Linked DNA regions of Anolis sagrei. The protein of the gene in region 1 interacts with the protein of each later gene in a biochemical or structural test. Links are inferred from orthologs where the notes say so. Each region holds a gene or a part of one and is shown in the gene's direction. Other genes may lie near its edges.

Region 1 (11,046 bases):
AAGGGTGGAGAGGGAAGAAATATCAAACCATTCCATCTGAAGTGATGGCCATTGCCTTTCTTTCTCATTCATTTTTGCAATGGGAAGCAGTATGCGGTGGAGGGAGTTCCCTAAATCTTCCTTTCTGCTTGGGTGCACTGCCTTCACAACCTTCCTAGCCAAGCAGCTTCTTGGCAAAGCCCCACTAGGGAAGCTGCTTGCTCAGAATGAGGTGCCCAACCATGAGATCAACAACTGGAGGGGGGTCAATTTGGGCATCGCATGGCTGGGCACCACATTCTGATGTCAAAAGTAGCAACTCGCTCACTGAGGCTCTGCCAGGAAGGCTTTTGACTGAAAGCCAGCAGCAGGCAAATCATTCTGGAAGAAAATGAAAAATATAACAACTAGCTGCCCCCCGCCACACGTTGCTGTGGCCCAGTCTAGTGATCTGCAATATAAAGTAAAGAGAAAGTGTTGGTTTCTAATATATGTCATTTCTTTATGCTTGTGGGTAAACAGTATTTCTTGCTGTTTCTTTGTCAGTGTTGATGTGGAGATTGTCTGGTTTACCTAATCAGGAACATGTCCTTCTTTAGGGGTTCCTTTCACATCTATGATACTATATCTCTCTCTGTGTGAATCATATCTATCTATATCTATGGCTGGATGGCTCTTTGTCAGGAGGGCTTTGATTACGTTTTCTTGCCCTGCTGAAGGAAGTAGGACTGGATGTTGGTCATGGGGGTTCTGTGTGGGAAGTTTGCCCCAATTCTGTCATTGGTGGGGTTAAGAATGCTGATTGTAAGTGAACTATAAATCCCAGTAACTACAACTTGCAAATGTCAAGGTCTATTTCCCCCAAACTCCATCTGTGTTCACATTTTGGCGTATTGAATGTTTGTGCCAAGTTTGGTCCAGGTCCATCATTGTTTGAGTCCACAGTGCTCTCTGGATGTAGGTGAACTACAACTCCCAAGCTCAAGGTCAATGCCCACCAAACACTTCCAGTATTTTCTGTTGGTCATGAGAGTTGTGTGTGCCAAGTTTGGTATATGCACAGAGCATATGCTCTATGCATAATGAGTACCTTAAAAACAAAAGAACCAATGAACGAAATCACACCAAATTTGGCAACAAAACGTCTCACAATACAAGGAGTGACCATCACTCAAAAAATTATGAGTTTGTCATTTGGGAGTTGTAGTTGCTGGGATTTATAATTCACCTACAATCAAAGAGCATTCTGAACTCCATCAACAATGGAATTGAACCAAACTTGGCACACAGAACTCTCATGACGAACAGAAAATACTGGAAGTGTTTGGTGGGTATTGACCTTGAGCTTGGGAGTTGTAGTTCACCTACATCCAGAGAGCACTGTGGACTCAAACAATGATGGACCTGGACCAAACTATATATATATATATATATGCTGTTTCGAATAGGGATGTGGGTAGCAATACTATTTCAGTTATGCTTAGGGTACTCTACGCTATAGAATTAATGCAGGTTGACACCACATTAACTGCTTATTTCACAACAACTCAGAGGTTTTCCATTACATTCATGCTACACACCTACACACTGCAGCCAACACACTAACACAGACATTTCAAGCTGTGTGTCACGGTACATTATTGTGTAGGTGTGCCATATGAACATAGCAAGAAACCTCTGAGTCTATGTGAAATAAGCAATAAATCATGTATTTTTTTAAATGAAAGGTTTTCATGAGATATCCTAGGCTGCCATTCATTTTGTTATTACGCTTTATGTATGCACCTGTCTCTCTTAAAAGAGGTTGGTTTAACCTCCAGTTTGTTAGTTAAACTGAATGACTGTATTGCAAAACAACCCATGTCTATAAAGCGTGTCACCAACATGAAGTGTTTGGAAAGCTCTGCACTAAGGAGTGGCAGCACACAGTTTGGAAAGCTATAGATTTTAAAGGCCATTTGAAGTGTATTTATTGTATTGCAGTTCTGCTTTTAACCACACTGTTACTGTTTAATTGTTTTTTAACTTTTGTATTGCACTTTTAAAACTGGTCTAGTCTGGGACTGTTAGCTGCCTTGAGTCCCCATGGGGAGAAATGTGATGTATAAATAAAGATAATAATAATAATAATAATAATAATAATAATCCCCCTAAAGCCACAGGTCCGCAGTTTGGGTGTCCTCTTGGATTCTTCGCTTACACTTGAGGCTCAGGTGTCGGCGGTATCCGGGAGGGCCTTTGCGCAACTCAGACTTGTGCGCCAACTGCGACCATACCTCGTGAAGGCTGATCTGGCCGGGGTGGTCCACGCCTTGGTCACCTCTAGAATGGACTACTGCAATGCGCTCTACGTGGGGCTGCCCTTGAAGACGGCTCGGAAACTTCAATTGGTCCAGCGGGCAGCAGCCAGGATGCTAACCGGGGCTCATTATCAAGAGAGGTCAACCCTCTTGTTCAAGGAGCTCCACTGGCTGCCGTTTATTTTCCGGGCCCAATTCAAGGTGCAGGTGCTCACCTACAAAGCCCTGAACGGTTTGGGACCACCCTACCTGCGTGACCGCATTACCATCTACGAACCCACACGCTCGCTCCGGTCATCTGGGGAGGCCCTGCTCGTGATCCCACCTACCTCGCAAGCGCGTTTGGTGGGGACACGGGACAGGGCCTTCTCTGTAGCGGCCCCCCGACTCTGGAACACCCTTCCAAAAGATCTCCGACAGGCCCCTACTCTGGCTGTCTTCAGAAGGAACTTAAAAACTTGGCTGTTCCGTTGTGCCTTCTCAGACTAGAAATTCCCACCCAAGTCCTAGTAGCACCTTAACATAACTAATCGCTGCTGCACACTGCACTTTTAATCCGACGTGCCTCCTACCATTTCAGCACTTTTAACCCTTGTACCCCATTGCGCCGGCCGAACCAGTTTTTAATATTGTATTGATGTATCGCCGTGGTCGTTATTTTGCTTATTGTTTTGATTTGCTTTGTATTGTTGTGTTATGTTTCTACTGTATTGTGTTTTAAGGCTTTGGCCTGTGTAAGCCGCATCGAGTCCTTCGGGAGATGCTAGCGGGGTACAAATAAAGTTAATAATAATAATAATAATAATAATAATAATCTATATACAGTGTATGTATGTATTTTTCAAGAAGGCCCCAACTTTCAGAGAGCATTGTAACTCCTGTCAACAATTAATCTGGACCATACTTGGCACAAAACACAAAGACCCCACAAGCCATGATGCACTTTATAGCCTGATGCAGTTAAGGGTAGGATAGAACATGGATGATGGGATTTGCAGTTCCTTCATCCGCTTTGGCTCTGACTTCCACAGACCATTGCGATCCCTACCAATGACGGACCTGGACCAAACTTGGCACACAGACCCCCCTTGACTCACTATACCAGGCATGGGCAAACTTGTGCCCTCTAGGTGTTTTGAACTTCAACTCTCACAATTCCTAAGAGCCTCAGGCCCTTCCCTTTCCCCCCTCAGCTACTAAAGCACCTGAGGGGGAAAAGAAAGGGGTCTGAGGATGCTAGGAGTGGTGGGTGTTGAAGCCCAAAACACCTGGAGGGCCCAAGTTTGCCCATACCTGCACTATATATCCACATATTCCAGTTCAAAACAGTAAAATGGGATTTTATTCAGTTGTGTGGAAGGGGCCTTGGAAGAACCTGCCAAGTATACTGAGGAGAGGATGTGTGTGTTTCGCCTTTGTAAGGTTCACATTCTCTGACGGGAATCACTCAAAAACAGGCTACTTTAAGGAGTGAATAGGAGAAGCAAAAAAAGTCTTCATTGCACCACCTCATCTCCTCTCAGGGCCCATCCACGCATCCCTATATCCCAGAATATCAAGGCAGAAAATCCCACATTACCTGAGTATGGACTCAGGGCCTGTCCAGACAGTACCTTTATTGTTGTATCTACTGCAATAAAGAAGGGGCTGTCCAGACAATGTTGTGGATAGACCTGAAATTAATTCGCTACAAACCAGGAAACCCCTGGTTTGTAGCGAATTAATTAGATAGTGGGTTTATTCCGTGCCTTCTTGGAAGGCATGGGATAAACCCACTATTGTAGTCCAGACACCACTCCCTCAGTTTACCAGGCTAAATAAGCCCAGTAAACTGTGGGAATACCCTTTCCCCAACCTCCCAAACCCCTTTGAAAAGTGAAAAAAAAACTTACCCAGCCTCCAGTATATTCTCTGAGCAGCTCTCCCTGTGCGTACAAATGATGCGCCAGGAGAGCAGGTGGGGGGCACCTCTCCTTTTCCTCCTCACTCTCCCCCCCCCCGCTCTCTTGGCATCTCGGAGAGTATACTGGAGGCTGGGTAAGGTTTTTTTTACTTTTCAAAAGGGTCTGGGGGCTTGGTAGGAGGGGGGCAGGACCTCCAGATGTTCTCCCGGGATTGGCCCAGGAGAACGTCTGGACACCCACCCCAAAAAGTACACACTTTCTGGGGTGTGTGTGAACAGGCCCACAGGAAAATCCACGTTTTTAAAATGCGGATTCTCCTGGGATAATGGCCTGTCTGGATCTGCCCTCAGATAACCCAGTTCAAAGCAGATAATGGGGGATTTTCTACCTTGATCTTCTGGGATATAGGGCTGTGTGGAAGGGCCCTCAGATAGAGTTGTGTGGAAGGGCCCTCAGATAACCCAGTTCAAAGCAGATATGATGGGATTTCCGCCTTGATATTCTGAGATATAGGGCTGTGTGGAAGGGCCCTCAGATAACCCACTTCAAAGCAGATATTGCGGGATTCTCTACCTTGATATTCTGGGATATAAGTCTGTGTGGAATGGCCCTCAGAAAACCCTGCTCAAAGCAGATATTGTGGGATTTTCTACCTTGATATTCTGGGATATAGGGCTGTGCAGAAGGGCCCTCAGATAACCCAGTTCAAAGCAGATATTGCGGGATTTTCACCGTGGGATATAGGGCTGTGCGGAAGGGCCCTCAGATAACCCAGTTCAAAGCAGATATTGTGGGATTTCCACCTTGATATTCTGGAATATAGGGCTGTGTGGAAAAATCCCCAGATAACCCAATTCAAAGCAGATATTGTGGGATTTTCTACCTTGATATTCTGGGATATAGGACTGTGTGGAGGAATCCTCAGATAACCCAGTTCAAAGCAGATATTGTGGGATTGTCTGCCTTGATATTCTGGGATATAGAGTTGTGTGGAAGGGCCCTCAGATAACCCAGTTCAAAGCACATATTTAGGGATTTATGCCTTGATATTCTGGGATATAGGCTGTGGAAGGTCCCTCAGATAACTCAGTTCAAAGCAGATATTGCAGGATTCTCTACCTTGAAATTCTGGGATATAGGGCTGTGTGGAAGAGCCCTCAGATAACCCAGTTCAAAGCAGATATTGCAGGATTTCCGCCTTGATATTCTGGGATATTGGGCTGTGTGGAAGCGCCCTCAGATAACCCAGTTCAAAGCAGATATTGGGGGATTTTCTGCCTTGATATTCTGGGTTATATGGCAGTGTACTATTCCATATATTCCAGTTCAAAGCAGATAATGTAGGATTGTATGCAGCTGTGTGGAAAGGGGTCTCCCTTTCCTCATGATCTGCTTTGAACTGGATTATATTCAGTGTGGACTCCTATCCTCCAGTTCAAAGCAGATAAAGTGATTTTTATATGGCAGTGTCAGATGTGTGTGGGGCATATTTTGGAAAGAGAGAGAGAGAGACCATTTGGTGAATCAGGCCCGCGTGATTCCGAGCAGCGGGGCGTGCCTCTGAGCTTGGCAAAGCCACAGGTGAAGAAGGCTCTCCGGAGGGAGGGGGGGCCTCCTTTGGGAAGCGCGCTCCCTTCACCCCTTCCCCGAATCCGCGCGCACGCTGGTTGCCCTAGAGACGGGCTTCCCCGCTGTTCCCCGTCCGCGCGCCCTCCTGTCCCTCCCTCCCTCCCTCCGCGCGCCCCGTAGCTGGGCATTGGGCGCCACTCCCTCCCTCCCTCTTTCCTTCCTTGCTTCCTTCCTGGCGGGTGGGCGGGGCCGTCGGGGTTGGCCCCGAGCGGGGATCCTCCTCCTCCTCCTCCTTTTTCCCTCAGACGTCAGGAGGAGCCCGAGCGGGCCGGGAAGGCAGCGCCCAGCCGCGCCACGCAGCCCAGCCTCACTCTCCCTGACGGGACGGGACGGGACAGGACTGAACAGGGGCTCCTCCGCCCGCCGCCTTGCCTGGCTTGGGCCGAGGGAGCGAAGAAGGGAAAGGCCGGTTGGGTGGGCGGGTGGGTGGTCTGCCTGCCGGTGCGGCCATGGCGGACGTCTTCCCCCTGGTGGAGCCCGGCTCGGGCTCCGAGGAGGTGGCGCAGCGCTTCGCCCGCAAAGGGGCCCTCCGCCAGAAGAACGTCCACGAGGTGAGGAACCACAAATTCATCGCGCGCTTCTTCCGCCAGCCCACCTTCTGCAGCCACTGCACCGACTTCATCTGGTAAGGAAAAGAGAAGGAGGAGACGCAGGAAAAGCAGGCAGGCAGGCAGGCAGGGCTCGAAACACACCGGGGTCTCTCTCTCTCTTCCCTCTTTTCTGCCTTCCTCCCTTCCCTCCCTTCTTTCTTGCCTTCCTCCTCGCTTTCATCTTGCTTTGCTTCCCTGCTCACCTCTTTTTCCTCCTTCCTTGCTTTTCTCCCACTCTCCCTCCCGCTCTCATCCTTTCTTTTGCCCTTCTCTCCCTTTTCCTTTCCTTCTCCTTCCTCCCCTTTCCTTCTTTCCCTCCCTCCCTCCTTTCCTTTCCTTCCTTCCTTTCCCTTCTTCCAGTCCTTCCTGCTCTCCCCCTTCTTTTCCTTCCCTTCCCTCTTTCCTTCCCTCCCTCCTTTCCTTTCCTTCCAGCTCTTCCCTCCCTCCTTCTTTTCCTTCTCTTCCTTCCCTCCCTCCTTTCCTTTCCATCCAGTCCTTCCCCCCTTCTTTTCCTTTCCTTCCTTCCTTTTTCCTTCCTCCCTCCCTCCTTTTCTTTCCTTCCAGTCCTTCCCTCTCTCCTTCTTTTCCTTTCTTTCCTTCCTTTCCTTTCCCCCTTCTTCCAGTCCTTCCCTCCCTCCTGCTCTTCCCTTCCAGTCCTTCCCTCCATCCTTCTTTTCCTTTCCTTCCTTCTTTCCTTCCTTCCCTCCCTCCCTCCTTTCCTTTCCTTCCAATCCTTCCCTCCCTCCTTTTTCTTTCTTTCCTTCCTTTTCCTCCCTTCTTCCAGTTCTTCCTTCCCTCCCTCCTTTCCTTTCCTTCCAGTCCTTCCCTCCCTTCCTTCTATTCCTTTCCTTTCATTTCCTCCTTTCTTTTCTTTTCCTCTCCTTTCCTCCTCCTTCCCTCCCTCCGTCCTCCTGTTCGAGTCCAGGCAGGCAGGGAGGCGTCTACTGTGTCTACTTGGCGAGTCCTCCTCTGCTTCTTCCCTTCCCTTCTGCCTTTGCCTTTCTGCCCGGAGCAGGAAGGGAACCAGGTTGGAGGCGCTGCTGCGGGGAATCCCGCGGAGAGGAGCCGGCTTCTTTCCGACCCCAAGCCCTTGCTTGGAGTGAGCTTCTTCCCGGGTACCCTCCTGGAGAGCTCTCCCTCTCTCTCTTTCCCTTCCCTTCCCTTCCCTTCCCACAGAAGGCAAGACACTTAGCTTGGTTGCTATACCTCTCCTGCCTATGGCAGTGCGGTTGCTGTGCCTGCCTTCTTAGGAACACACCCCTTCCCAGGACTGTCCCAGTGAAAGAGCTTTCCAGGCACTCTCACAACTTCTCCTTTGGCAGGGAGCCTTGGCATTGCGGCTTGAGAGATGGCTAAATGCCAGACCCCCTTCAGAGGTGCTTCTTCCAAGTTGGTTTCCTTTCTTTTGCTTCCTCCCAGCACACCAACCCCTTCTGCCTTAGGAAAGTGACAGTTTGTCATGTGCTTTAGTGCAAAGAAGGGCATCCTTACCTGTGGATGGGCGATCACTTGTGGCTGATCCAGAGGTAGAGTCTTCTAGTTCTCTGTGTTTTGCCACAGTGGGAGCAGAGATTTCCAGGTGGGAGGCAGTCACGAGAAAGATCGGCTTGATGTGCCTTCCTCTTGACATGTTTCTCCCTTTCACTCGCTTCAAAACTGGTAATAGCTGATCTCCAGCTATAACACTCAAGGGCTGAGGATGCCCAGTTCTCTATGTTTATTCCACATTTTTAAGGATAGCCTTAAGCCTATCTGTAAATCTCTTATATATTTTTTCCTTCCATGCAGCCATATAATCCAGAATATCAAGGCAGGGAATCCCACAATATTTATTTATTTATTTACTGTATTTGTATATCTTTCTCAGCCCGTAGGCTGAGATGATAAAAACATCAAATCATCTGGGCGTCCCCTGGGCAATGTCCTTGCAGACGGCCAATTCTCTCACACCAGAAGCGACTTGCAGTTTCTCAAGTCGCTCCTGACACGACAAAAAATAAATAAAATAAAAGGCCCTAGGCAACTCAAGGTGGTTAACAGGATAAAATTCAATGCTTACAATATCATAAATATAATTTAAAAACATAACATATAATAAAAAATTAAACATATCAATCTATATAAATAAAAATGTAATGTTCATTTGTGGAATTAACATAACTCAAAAGCCACTGGACAAATTGACACGAAATTTGGACACAACACACCTAACAGTCCAATGAGTGTCCATCACTCATAAACACACACACACAACCCCAGAGGAACAGACTTAAAAACCCCAAAAATACACCATACATACATACACACATACACTCATATATAAATGCACATGCACACATTCATACACGCGTATATATATGCACAAATACACACATATATACATATACACATACACACACATATACATATCCACATACATTCATATATACACACAAATGTGCATATAAATAAGCACACACATATACACAATATGCATGTACACATATAAACACAAAAACACAAATATATACACACGTATATGAAAACACACATATATAGACAAATATATACACAATATGCATGTACACATATAAACACACAAATACACAAATATATACACACACTTATATACACACACGTATATACAACCAAATATATATATGTAAGCAAAAACACATATATACACAAATATATACACACATATGCACAATATGCATGTACACATATAAACACACAAATACACAAATATATACACACACATATACACATATATACACACACAAAACATATACACAGACTGGGCCACAGCAACGCATGGCAGGGGACGGGTAGTAAAATATAAATTCATAGTGTCTCCTTGTTAAAAAGGTTGTCCGGTCTCATTGTTGTTGTTCCATTTTCCTATGTCAGTTACTCTGCATTTAGAAACGCTTGTTCAAAAAGCCACCTATTGACTTTTTTTCGGAATGTTAAAAGGGAGGTGGCCGATCTAATATCTATAGGGAGGGTGTTCCACAGCCGAGGGGCCACCGCCGAGAAGGCTCTGTCTTGTCTCCGCCAAACAATATCTGAGTCCACACTGTTTGTTCAAAGCAGATCATGTGGGATTTTATTCAGCTGCATGGAAGGGGCTGAAGATTCTGTTTTCTGTTCTTCAGTTGAGAATAAAGTAACTGGGTTCTGTAATCCCCACTAACTGTGTCACTTTGGTTCTCCTGCCCCACCCTGCAGTTATTTCCAAGCAATAGTCCTCCCTGAGATGTTATCTGCTTCCCATTTCCAATTGGGTCTCCTTTGCTGGATCCAGGCCCAAAGCCAGGATTTTGATTTTGGGGGGGGGGGGCTGAGGATCTACCCTAGCAAACCTTTTGTATTGTTACCCCAATACCCCCATGCATATGGGATATATTGAGTATGGTGATCAGGTAATGATATGAATAAACATAACAGTTTAAATAATGTACCAGTAAAGCCTTCTCGTGGACACCCTGAGAATTTTGGGGGGAGGCTGAAGCCCCTCAAGCCCCCCCCCCACCCCCGGCTATGGGCCTGGCTGGATCCGATGGGCTCAGTTCTTGATGTCCTTAGCCACAGTGTGGCTATTGATCATGACAGGTATTCCACCTGGAAGTCATGTCAAATCTGTGGTCTTTGGATGATGCTCCCAGAGAAGGAATGGGTAGACTGCATCTCACTTTATTCAGCAAACACTGGCGTCAGAGTAAGAGAACTGCACCAATTGTATCCCAGTGTGAAAGCAGTGGTGTATTGAACTCACTGGCTGTATTGAACTGGGTTGCTGTGAGTTTTTCAGGCTGTATGGTCATATTCTAGAAGCATTCTCTTCTGACATTTTCACCCACAACTATGACAGGCATCCTCAGAGGTTGTGAGGTCTGTTGGAAAATAGACAAGTAGGGTTTATATATTTGTGGAAGGTCCGGGGTGGGAGAAAGAACTTTTGTCTGCTGGAGGCAAGTGTCAATGTTGCAGTTGGCCACCTTGAATAGCATTGAATGGCCTTGCAGCCTGAATATTCCACAATATACAACAACTTGCATACGTTGTTGTAGGTTTTTTCGGGCTATATGGCCATGTTTCTAGAGCCTTCGACAATACATTATCAGTTGCCTTGTTTCCAACAGACCACACAACCTCTGAGGATGCCTGCCATAGATGTGGGTGAAACATCTGGAGAAAATGCTTCTGGAACATGGCCATACAGCAGCCTAGTGATTCTGGTCATGAAAGCTTTTGACAATGTATTGAACTGCTTGATTCAATAGCTCAGGGGTGGGTAACTTTCATAGGTACTATGTATTTTTACTGTATCGGGGGTCTTCTGAGTGGCCTATGCCCGGATATATATATGCACACTTTCAAGTCACCTGTTCAGTTATGGCAACCCCATGAATTTCATATGCAATGATTTTGCCAGTACCTTCCTTTGAAAGATAGTCTGCAGTGTCTGGTATTCTTATGCCCATTCAAATATTCACCAGGTCTGATCCTAGTTAAGGATTTGGTACCCTTGTAGGGATGACAAACCCACTTTCATCGAGGGCCACATCAACCTTATGGTTGACTTTAAAGGTTTGTTGAATCTATGGACGGAGAGTCCATCGATATGGAGGGCCTATTGTAATAGTGGTCAGTGCTTTTTAG
Region 2 (11,440 bases), on another chromosome or scaffold:
TAAGTTCCCCTAAATTGAACAGAAAGTCTCCCAAGTCAATGTGTTTAGGACTGAAGCCTAAAGCTGGACTCGGGCCAGTGTCATCATTCCTTTTGGGTTGAAGTCTGTGCACAATCATAAACTGAGAAATGGCTCACAGTGTGAAAGATAGGTCTGGAAGAGGAATATTGATAACAAAACTTGCAGGACTCAATAAAGTGAGCTTTTCCTGCCCAGAGTGAAGAAAGCTATGTGGTGTATCCATGGTTTGTTGATGGAATTGCTGATAAATCCTGTCCCCAAAATAAATAAAAAAATCAGCTAGAACAAGTCAATTTCACAGAGCATTTTTTCTTCCCTCTGCCAGCCAGCAACAGAGCAGAGGCTTCAGCATCAGCTTTCAACAACTTCCATTATATAGGTGAAATGAGCAAAGATATTTCTTGTTGTATTGGTAGTGTTGGTATTGATATTTATTTATTTATTCCTGATTGTTTACTATTATTGGAAATTTTCTAATGAAAATGACCTATTTAGTCTTCCATTCAGAGTAAAGACACTCGTTTAATTAATAGGAAAAACAACATGAGAAGAAAATGCAACATATAGATTAAATATGGGGGGGGGGGGGGACTGGAAATAATTCATCCAGGCCTTTTTTGCACTGCTGTATAAAATCCAGATTATCTGCTTTGAACTGGATTAGATGGCAATGGAAAGGGGCCTAAGAGTATAATCCTGAAAAGACAAAGATCTCTTCCACACAGCTGAATACAATCCCACATTTTCTGCTTTGAATTGGAATATATGGCAGGGTGTTCTCGGATAACCCAGTTTAAAGCAGATATTGTGGGATTTTCTGCCTTGATATTCTGGGTTTTATAGCTGTGTGGAAGGCCCCTAAGAGTGCTGTAGAATTAATGCAGTTTATACTACTTTAGCTGCCATGGCTCAATGCTATGGAACCATGGAATTTATAGTTTTCAAGGTCTGTAGCCTCTCTGCCAAGTTGTGCTGGTGCTTCATTAAATTGCGAGATTTTATTCAGCTGTGGGGAAAGGGCCTACAAACCCCAGGATCCCATAGCACTGAGCCATGGCAGTTAATGTGTTATCAAACTGCATTAATTCTATAGTGTAGATGCACCCTGGGCCTGCAGTTAAGTGTTCATATAGGGCCCTTCCACACAGCCATATAACCCAAAATATCAAGGTAGATTATCCACAATATCTGGTTTGATCTGGGTTATCCAAGTCCAAACTGCCTTATAATCTAATTCAATGTGGATTTTATAATGCTGTGTGGAAAGGGCCGTAGAACATTACTTGTGGAGTGAAAAGTAGACATTGTATTGGTTTGTGGTGAGTTTTTTGGGCTGTATGGCCATGTTCCAGAAGCATTCTCTCCTGACATTTCGCCCACATCTATGGCATCTATGGCAGGCATCCTCAGATAGGTCCTCACAACCTATGGATGCCTGTCATAGATGTGGGCGAAACCTCAGGAGAGAATGCTTCTGGAACATGGCAATGCAGCCCAGAGAACTCACAGCAACCCAGGGCCGTTCCACACAGCCCTGTATTCCAGAATATCAAAGCAGAAAATCCTGCAATATCTGCTTTGAACTGGGTTATCTGAGTCCACACTCAGATAATGTGGGATTTTCTGCCTTGGTATTCTGGGATATAGGGATGTCTGGAAGGGCCCTCAATGATTCCAGCCATGAAAGCCTTTGACAAGACATTGTACTATTTTTCCACTATAATATTTGATCTGCATTGGCTGCATTATTCAGATTGTTAATTTATGGTGGTTTTTTTCTGAGCAGCCACAATGAGGATCAAATCTGCACAGGTTTCTAAAAATAAGATGCAAATGATGGATTGTATTCTGAGTTGCGAAAGAAGTGTTCCAAAATATATTTACAGCCTTATTATATTGTAAAGCCAATCTTTATACAAAGTGATTCTTTGCAATTACCTTGAAAAGCACCACGTTTTACATATTTTACCCTTAACGAATAGGGCTCTTTACTATTCAGCGATTCAAATTATTTGCTAAATTTCAAAACCAATTGGTACAAACCGTTAGGAGTTTTAATTATTGATTCGAAACCTTCAGATTATTGATTGGAAACATTGATTTACCCACTCAGTGTTTTTTAATGAAGCCGAGATTAACATGACTTTTTTACCTTCAGCAAAAAAATAAAATAAAATAAATCCCTTGCCATGGTTTTCAATTGTAGCAAAAAATTAATCTCCTGAACTAAATGAATACAACACCAGACTGAAATACAGATACTAGTCCTCCACTCCTCTGGAAAAAATATGTTTGTGGTAGCAGATAATCTTAGGGTGCATCTTCACTGTGGAATTTATTTATTTACCTATTTATTTATTTACAGTATTTTATTTTATTTATTTACAGTATTTATATTCTGCCATTTTCACCCCACAGGGGACTCAGGGCGGATTACAATACACATATACATGGCAAACATTCAATGCCATTAGACATATAACATATATAAACAGACACAGAGGCAATTTAACATTCCAGCTTTTCCGGCTTCACAAGGGCATGCTTGATTCCGGCCACAGTGGGAACTGCCGCTTCACCATCTATTTGTGATCAAAAATCCTTTGATGGAGTACTTCCTCATTCTTCTGCACACAGCTGGAAGGTTTTATGGATTGTAAATTAGTTAAATTAGCCTTCCTGCATAAGTTTCGATAAAGGTTTCCCTTGACATTAAGTCTAGTCGTGTCCGACTATTCGTGCTCATCTCCATTTCCAAGTTGTGCGTAGACACCTCCAAGGTCATGTGGCCGGCATGACTGCATGGAACGCTGTTACCTTCCCGCTGGAGCAGTACCTACTGATCTACTCACATTTGCATGTTTTCAAACTGCTAGATTGGCAGAAGCTGGGGCTGACCGCGGAAGCTCACGCCACTCCCCGGATTTGAACGTGTGACCTTTCAGTCAACAAGCTCAGCAGCTCAGTGGTTTAACCCACTGTGCTACCGGGAGCTCCTGCATAAAGTGGTACCTAAATTTCATACGCAACTGTCTTTCGTGCTGCATAGGTCGACAGCAAGCTACACTCATGACTGGAATCTCGCTCACTCCAACCTGGTTTAATCCACTTTAACACCACTTAAACAGCCACAGCTCAGGGCTCTTCCACATAGCCATATAACCCAGAATATCAATGCAGAAAATCCCACAATATCTGTTTTGAACTGGGTTATCTGAGTCCACACTGCCATATATTCTGGTTCAAAGCAGATAATGTGGGATTTTATTCAGCTGTGTGGAAGAGTTCTCAATGTTCTGGACTAATGAGAATTGTGGTTATGCAAGGTCTTTAGCCTTCTCTGCTGGTGCCTCACCAAGCTACAAATCCATGGCTTCCACTGATTGCATTGAGCTATGGCACTTAAGGAGAAACGAAAGCACCAGGGGAAAAGACTGGCGCGCGGAGCATGCTGGGAATGGTAGTCTCCCACACCAGAAACCGAGACGCTCAGCTAAGAGCGCTTGAACTACAAGTCCCACAAGGCAAACGCCACTTTGCCCTGCAGTTTCTCTCCCACTGTTTCTTTGAGCTTTGGGAAAGTGAGTGCACCATCTTCTTTTGCAACTTGTGAGTATAAACAAAAGCATATATTTTTAAAAGCCATTGCCAGCAAGAAAGCGAATTGAGGCAGTTTGGAGCGAGTGCGTGTTTGTTTACCCAGAGCCCGTCTACATTGTAGAATTAATGCAGCGTGGTACCACTTTATCGGTCCTCTTCACTGGGATTTGCCCTTAGGTGAGGCACTAGCACTCTGTCAGAGGAGGGTAACGCCCTTGTCAAACTACAGCTCCCAAGAACCCATAGCATTGATCCATGGCAGTTAAAAGTGGTGTCAAACAGCTTTAATTCTACAGATGCACCCTTAGCCCACTTCTACACTGCCATGTAATCCAGATTATCAGACCAGACAATTCTAGATGGCCTGTTTTGAATTGGATTATATGAGTCTACACTGCCAAATAATCCAGATTATCAGAGCAGACAATCTAGATGTCCTTTTTTGAATTGGATTATATGAGTCTACCCTGCCAAATAATCCAGATTATCAGAGCAGATAATCCAGATGATCTGTTTTGAATTGGATTATAGCACCGGGATTGTGGCGCAGCTGGCTGAGTGTCAGCTGCATTAAGATCACTCTGACCAAAAGGTCATGAGTTCGAAGCCAGCCCGGGCTGGAGTGGGTGTCCAGCCATTGTGTAGCCCGTTGTCGACCTTTGCAACCCGAAAGACAGTTGCATCTGTCAAGTAGGAAAATAAGGGACCACCTTGTGTGGGAGGCTAAATTTAACTAATTTATGAGGCCATAAAGAAAGAAGACTCCGGGGAATGTGGAATGCGGAAGAACTTCATCGGTGTCATTGATGGACGATGAAAAGCAGCAGCTCCCCTGGCGGCCAGAAAAAAAAAGTTAAATAGCCTTTGTCTGTTAAATGTTGTTTGTCAAACTGGCATTGAATGTTTGCCATATATGTGTTTACTGTAATCCGCCCTGAGTCCCCTGCGGGGTGAGAAGGGCGGAATATAAGAACTGTAAATAAATAAAATAATAATAAATATGAGACTACACTGCCAAATAACCCAGATTATCAGAGCAGACAATCCATATGATCTGTTTTGAATTGGATTATATGAGTCTACCCTGCCAGATAATCCGGATTATCAGAGCAGACAATCTAGATGTCCTGTTTTGAATTGGATTATATGACTCTACCCTGCCAGATAATCCAGACTATCAAAGTTGATAATCCAGATGATCTGTTTTGAATTGGATTATATGAGTCTACACTGCCAAATAATCCAGATTAGCAGAGCAGATAATCCAGATGATGTTTTGAATTGGATTATATGAGTCTACACTGCCAAATAATCCAGTTCAAAGCAGCTAATGCTGGTTTTGATATGGCAGTGTAGAAAGGACCATAGAAAACCGCTGTGAAAGCAAAGTTGGTGAGTTGAGCCATTTAGGGAGCATCTGCACTGCAGTTTGCAGTTTGATACCGCTTGACCTGCCATGGCTCAGTGCTATGGGATTTGTATCTTTACAAGCCTTCTCTGCACAAGAGGGTTGGTGCCTTACCAAACTACAAATCCCAGGATTTCATAATGTTGAGCCCAGGCAATTAAATTGAGCTCAAACTGCATTCTACAGTGTAAATGTACTCTTAGGGCCCTTCCAGACAGTCCCTATATCCCAGGATCTGGGCCACTTCCACACAACTGAATAAAATCCCACATTATCTGCTTTGAATTGGATTATATGGCAGATAACCCAGTTCAAAACAGATATTGTGGGTTATTTTGCTGTATGAAAGGGCCCCTGATCTCAGGTTTTCTGTTTATCCCAGATTATCTGGCAGTTCAGACTCGTATATTTAAGTTTAAAGCAGAAAACCTGGGATCAGATCCTGGGATATAGGGCCTGTCTGGAAGAGCCCTAAGAGAGCTCACACATGGCTGGTATGTGGCACCATGTGTCTTAGGGAATTTTACCAATTTATTGGCGAATAGAACAAGCTTAAAATAGATATATATGAATAGGCAGTCCCCAAGTTACGAGCAAGATAGGTTCTGTGGGTTTGTTCTTAAGTTGAATTTGTATGTAAGTCAGAACAGGTACATTTTAAAGTGTAACTCCATCCAGATATACACCTTATAAGTGTAATTCCAGCCATTCACTTCACTTAGGTGATCCCTCGTTGGCCGAGTAGGATAGTCTTCCAGGATCAGTATTCTTGTGGATCCGTAGGTGACTGTGGAGCCCTATTCTTGATTTGCGTCTTCTCCCGCAGTGAGGCCATTGATTTCCAGGTGGAAGGCGGTCTCGGTTGGGGTTGGCTTGACACGCCTTCCTCTTGGCACATTTATCTCTTTCACCCTCCATTCGTGCCTCTTCAAATTCTGCAGCACTGCTGGTCACAGCTGACCTCCAACTGAAGCCCTCAAGGGCCAGGGCTTCCCAGTTCTCAGTGTCCATGCCAGAGTTTTTAAAGTTGGCTTTGAGCCCATCTTTAAATCTCTTTTCCTGTCCACCAACATTCCGTTTTCCGTTCTTGAGTTTCGAGTAGAGCAACTTGCTTTGGGAGACGGTGGTCGGGCATTCGGACAACGTGGCCGGTATAGCGGAGTTGATGGCGGAGGACCATCGCTTCAATGCTGGTGGTCTTTGCTTCTTCCAGCACGCTGATGTTTGTCCGCCTATCTTCCCAAGAGATTTGCAGGATTTTCCGGAGGCAAATTCCAGCCATATATACATATTAAAAATTTACACATTTAAGTGTAACTCCATATACATTGTGTCCAAATTTGGTGTCAATCCGTCCAGTGGTTTTTGAATTATGTTAATCTCACAAATGAACATTACATTTTTATTTATATAGATATTTTCCAAATGTGTGACATGTCCAGGCTAGCCTTTTTTGCCTAGCTTTCCACGTTTCCTCTTTGGATGGTCTATGTCCTTAAAGAGTGTTTGGCTTCAGTCCCACCCCACCCCCCTCCCCTTTCCCAGGCATGCTTCCTGTTGGTTTTCAGCTTGTTTGTTTTATCTTCTTAGCTCGGCTGGAGTTGGTGATTTTGTAACATGCTGTGCATTTCTCTGGTGGACGAAGGCAGTGTCAGGCTGGGGCATTCAGACGAGGGAGCTCTCAAAAGGAGAGCCGTATTTCAAGAGTGTCTCTGAAAGTTGACTTCTTAATAAAAAGGCCCCAGCAGGGTGGTTTAGAAAACAAACAACTTTTTATATAGCTAAGATTATCTCCATTCCCCATTAGTCTGGTAAGTCTTGCGGAGCCTTGGCCTTCCCCTCTCCTAAATATTTTGCAATTGGTTCCACTTTTCCAGAATTGGCTCTTTTCACATAGACTGGTTGCTCCTGATGCACATGGTTTTCATGACATAGCTGTGTTATTGTTCATAGTGGTGATACATATTGTTTAAATTAATCACAATTATTTGGTGTATTAGTGTTCAGTTGTCTTCCAAGCCCTGCATAGTTATTTATCTAGCTTTTTTAGAACAGAAAAGTAAATACTGCTAACTTGCATGATTACCATTATTAATATGAATTTGTAACAGAATATATATTTTTGGCAATAGTTAAGCAAGTAGAGTAAATGAAAGGAATTAAGATTTGATGGACAGGACAGCTGTGGTTGCACATTTGTTGCATCTGTGCCCTGTTCACACATATAGCAGAACTCTTTGGTTTTCCAGTTCAGATGTTTTCTGCAAGTGGCAGAATAAAACCCTTCCGTCATCTTTTCCTTACCATCATACTCTATTCCAGAGGTCCTCAAACTAAGGCCCAGGGGCCGAATACGGCCCTCCAAGGTCATTTACCCGGGCCTCGCTCAGGGTCAACCTAAGTCTGAAATGACGTGAAAGCACACAATAACAACAATCCTATCTCATCAGCCAAAAGCAGGCCCACACTTCCCATTGAAATAATAATAAATTTATATTTGTTAAAATTGTTCTTCATTTTTATTATTGTATCGTTTGTGTGTGTGTGTGTGTGTGTTTTTGCACTACAGATAAGATATGTGCAGTGTGCATAGGAATTCATTCATTATTTTTTTTTCAAATTATAATCCGGTCCTCCAATAGTTTGAGGGACTGTTACCTGGCCCTCTGTTTAAAAAGTTTGAAGACCCCTGCTCTATTCCCATCAAAGCTGAAGTACAAGATAAGGATACCAATGCTTTAAGCAGGCCAAAATTATACATGGTTTTTGATCTTGCAAATACTCAATGTGAGCTGAGGACTTCTTGCAGTGTTGAAGAGTATTATATTGTGCATACTTGTTCAGGATTTGGTATTGCGTTTTAATAATTGTGTGATATTTATATGTTTTAATTGTTTATTGCATTGATGTACTGTATTTTATGTTATTGAATATGCAGCATTAAATATTACCATTATTTATGCCTGCAAGGGTGGAAAGCAGGATAGAAATAGAGTAAATATATGCTCTATTCTGCCTGGACTGGAACACTGTGGAATTTAAGGGACATGTTGACAAGCTGGAACGTGTCCAGAGGAGGGCAACTAAAATGATCAAGAGTCTGGAGAACAAGTCCTATGAGGAGTGGCTTAAAGAATTGGGCATGTTTGACTTGCAGAAAAGAAGGCTGAGATGAGAGGGAGGGAGCAACTTGTTTTCTGCTGCCCTGGAGACTAGGGTGTGGTCCAATGGCTTCAAATTACAGGAAAGGAGATTCCAAAACATTAGGAAGAACTAAACATTAGGAAGAACTTCCTAATGGTGAGAGCTGTTCAGCTGTGAAACTCCCTGTCCTGTAGTGTGCTGGAGGTTTCTTCTTTGGAGGCTTTTAAGCATCTGTCAGGGGTGCTTTGAATGCAATTTTTTTTGTTCTTGGAGTGGGTTTGACTGGAAGGCCCACAAGGTCTCTTCCAACTCTATGATTCTAAATAAATAAATGTATGAAGGTGACCATTAACAAACTAACATGTATGACTAAAATGCTGGAACAGTTGCAGTTCTCTGTAGATTAGCTCAGCACTGGCACGACTGTGGCTATGTTGCTTCCATTGCTTTTGTGAGAGAAAAGGAATCCTACTTGAAGGCTACTCAGCCTATATTATCATAAAAATTATGAACCAAAGTGAATCCAGTCCCTCTGTTTGCTCCTTGAGTAAGTAGTTCTGGCAAGATGCTCCAAAGTGTTTTGACTTGTATTCCCTCTAGAATTTATAGAGTTACAACTAGGAATAATAACTCATTACAAATTAGGTGGTGTCAAAAAAACCCAGAAAGAATATGAAAGAAAACAAGTTATTTTCCAAATTTGAATATTCACTTTTCAAATAATGAACATACATTTTTTTCTGACAGTGTTCCTCCTACTCCCTCAAATTACAGGCAGTCCCTGAGTTACAAACATCTGACTTACAAATGATTTGTAGTTAAGAACGGGGGCGAGACAACTGGGAGTGAGAGTAATCTACTTTTCAGAAGGGAAATTCACTCTTGAAAGAGTTATCACGGGGGGGGGGGGGGGGAGCTTTATCACCAGTCCTTATTTCCACAACAAGCCACATGTTTCAAAATCCAATCCTCACCGAGACCTAAAGTGGGGTTAAATCTTCTGAACAGAGCCAAAGATAGCAAAATAAATATCACAGGGGTGTTAACCCTTTCCTGTGCTACCCAAAGCTTATTTATTTGTTTCGTATCAAAAGCATTGCATAAATTAGTATAAAACCGATAAAATAGAAGTAGCTCAGGTGGCTAAATATCTTTTGACCAAGCCTCCAACAATTCTTCCTCTGTACATGAGGCAGGGCATAGTGGACGAGCATACAGATGCGGAGTTTTCTATTCTGTTCCACAATCACATAAGGTGTGGGATTCTTTTAGGTAGTGCTATTTTACTAGGTTGTCGTTTGATCTGCCCACTCCGAGTCTGTTCAGAAAGCTAATATATATCTATATTCGGCCGGAGCTACTCTTACAAAATGTCCCTGTTCTGACTTGCATACAAATTCAACTACAGAATTTATCTTTTTTCTAACTTGGAGACTGCTTGTCCTCCTAAAATGTATATAATGGTAAGACTTTTTTTATCATTACAATTCTTGGTCTTGACATCCTTTTCTCAGTTCGTTTCCTGATGCTATTGAAGATTAGAGGAGAATAATTAATTTTCTCTCTTTTACTAATATTGATCCCACCCTCACTGTTCCTGGTAAAGTGCCAAAGCCAAAGATGTTCCTTTGGATTTTTCCAGAGTAATATCCTATGATTATTCATCGCCTTTATGTAGTAGCCAAAAGCTTTGAAGGGTCTGTTAAAAGACTGTACCTTTGCACAGATGCCATCTTTCAGAATAGGTACATATTTCGGTATAGCTTACAATTTCAACTAGGTGTACTTAGAAGCTAGCATCAGCAACTTTTTATCTGCAGCCTGAATGATCCATGACAACTTAATTACACCACTTATGCAGCAACTGCACCGATGCTCTATAGGAAGCAATAGTAGTTGTACTGTAACTTATGTTTCTGTGGCTACTTTATCTCCTGATAACTCCGTAATTAACTTGTCACCACTGTTTAATGCTTAACGTATGTAGAGAATCAGTTAATGGCATCACTAAAGCGATAGTAGCCTGAAGGAGCAGCTCATGCCCACTGGGAAGGCTATCAGGGATTGCTTAAACACAAAACACCCGGGCCTGACCTGGAAAGGCATTAGGAAGCTTGTTCATTAGGAAGCTTTGGAGAGAATGTTTAAAAGTGTTACTGAGACAGGCACGTCTGGTATTCAACTGAAAACACAAACTTTGGGATCATAGTAAACTCAAGCTGCAAGGGATAGAAATACAGATTGAGTGCCTACCCCTCATCTGCAATTCTTTGGAGCAGAAGTGTTCCATATTTTGGATCCTTAGATTTCACTTGGATCTACTGAATGAGATATTTTGGAGATAGGTCCCAAGTTTAATCTCAAAATTAATTTTTACACTTTATACATATGTCCTGAAAGTAGTTTTATACACAACTAGCCACCCCTGCCACGCGGTGCTGTGGTCCAGTCTGTGTATATGTGTTTTGTCTGTGTATGTGTATATGTGTATATATGTGGTTTTGCGCATGCATAGTAATGTATTTTTTTTTGGCTTTTAAGTATCTTCCATTGTGTGTTTTTCAGTGTTTTTATGAGTGATGGTCACTCATTGGCCTGATAAGTGTACTGTGTCCAAATTTGGTGTCATTTCGTCCAGTGATTTTTGAGTTATGTTAATCCCACAAATGAACATTACATTTTTATTTATATACATACTAGCCGTCCCCTGCCATGCATTGCTGTGGCCCACATGGGGGTTCTGTGTGGGAGGCTTGGCCCAATTCCATTGTTGGTGGGGTTCAGAATGCTCTGTGATTGTAGATGAACCTGTGGCGTTCCTCAGGGTTCCATCCTGTCCCCCTTGCTGTTTAACATCTTCATGAAGCCGCTGGGTGAGATCATCCGGAGTTTCGGGGTGCGGTGTCACCTGTACGCAGATGACGTCCAACTCTGTCACTCCTTCCCACCTGCTACTAAGGAGGCCGTCGAAGTCCTGAACCGGTGCCTGGCCGCTGTGATGGTCTGGATGAGGGCGAACAAACTGAAATTAAATCCAGACAAGACAGAGGTACTCCTGGTCAGTCGCAAGGCCGAACAGGGTATAGGGTTACAGCCTGTGCTGGACGGGGTCGCACTCCCCTTGAAGGCACAGGTTCGCAGCTTGGGTGTGACCCTGGACTCATCACTGAGCCTGGAGCCTCAGGTTTCAGCGGTGACCAGGGGAGCATTTGCACAGCTTAGGCTCGTGCGCCAGCTGCGCCCGTATCTTGGGAAGTCTGACTTGGC

The links.
Region 2: of the proteins of PRKCA (region 1) and MGMT, one has a biochemical effect on the other in vitro, tested with the Homo sapiens proteins (2 studies listed by BioGRID). The link is inferred for Anolis sagrei from reciprocal best matches to the Homo sapiens genes PRKCA and MGMT.

Annotation. Positions count from the first base shown.
Region 1 is NC_090022.1:181,293,632-181,304,677, reverse strand, and holds the start of PRKCA (protein kinase C alpha type), read left to right. Parts: upstream 1-6,037; 5' UTR 6,038-6,261; coding exon 6,262-6,437; intron 6,438-11,046. UniProt on the Homo sapiens protein: Calcium-activated, phospholipid- and diacylglycerol (DAG)-dependent serine/threonine-protein kinase that is involved in positive and negative regulation of cell proliferation, apoptosis, differentiation, migration and adhesion, tumorigenesis, cardiac hypertrophy, angiogenesis, platelet function and inflammation, by directly phosphorylating targets such as RAF1, BCL2, CSPG4, TNNT2/CTNT, or activating signaling cascade involving MAPK1/3 (ERK1/2) and RAP1GAP.
Region 2 is NC_090023.1:193,690,696-193,702,135, reverse strand, and holds the start of MGMT (methylated-DNA--protein-cysteine methyltransferase), read left to right. Parts: upstream 1-6,819; 5' UTR 6,820-6,840; intron 6,841-11,440. UniProt on the Homo sapiens protein: Involved in the cellular defense against the biological effects of O6-methylguanine (O6-MeG) and O4-methylthymine (O4-MeT) in DNA. Repairs the methylated nucleobase in DNA by stoichiometrically transferring the methyl group to a cysteine residue in the enzyme.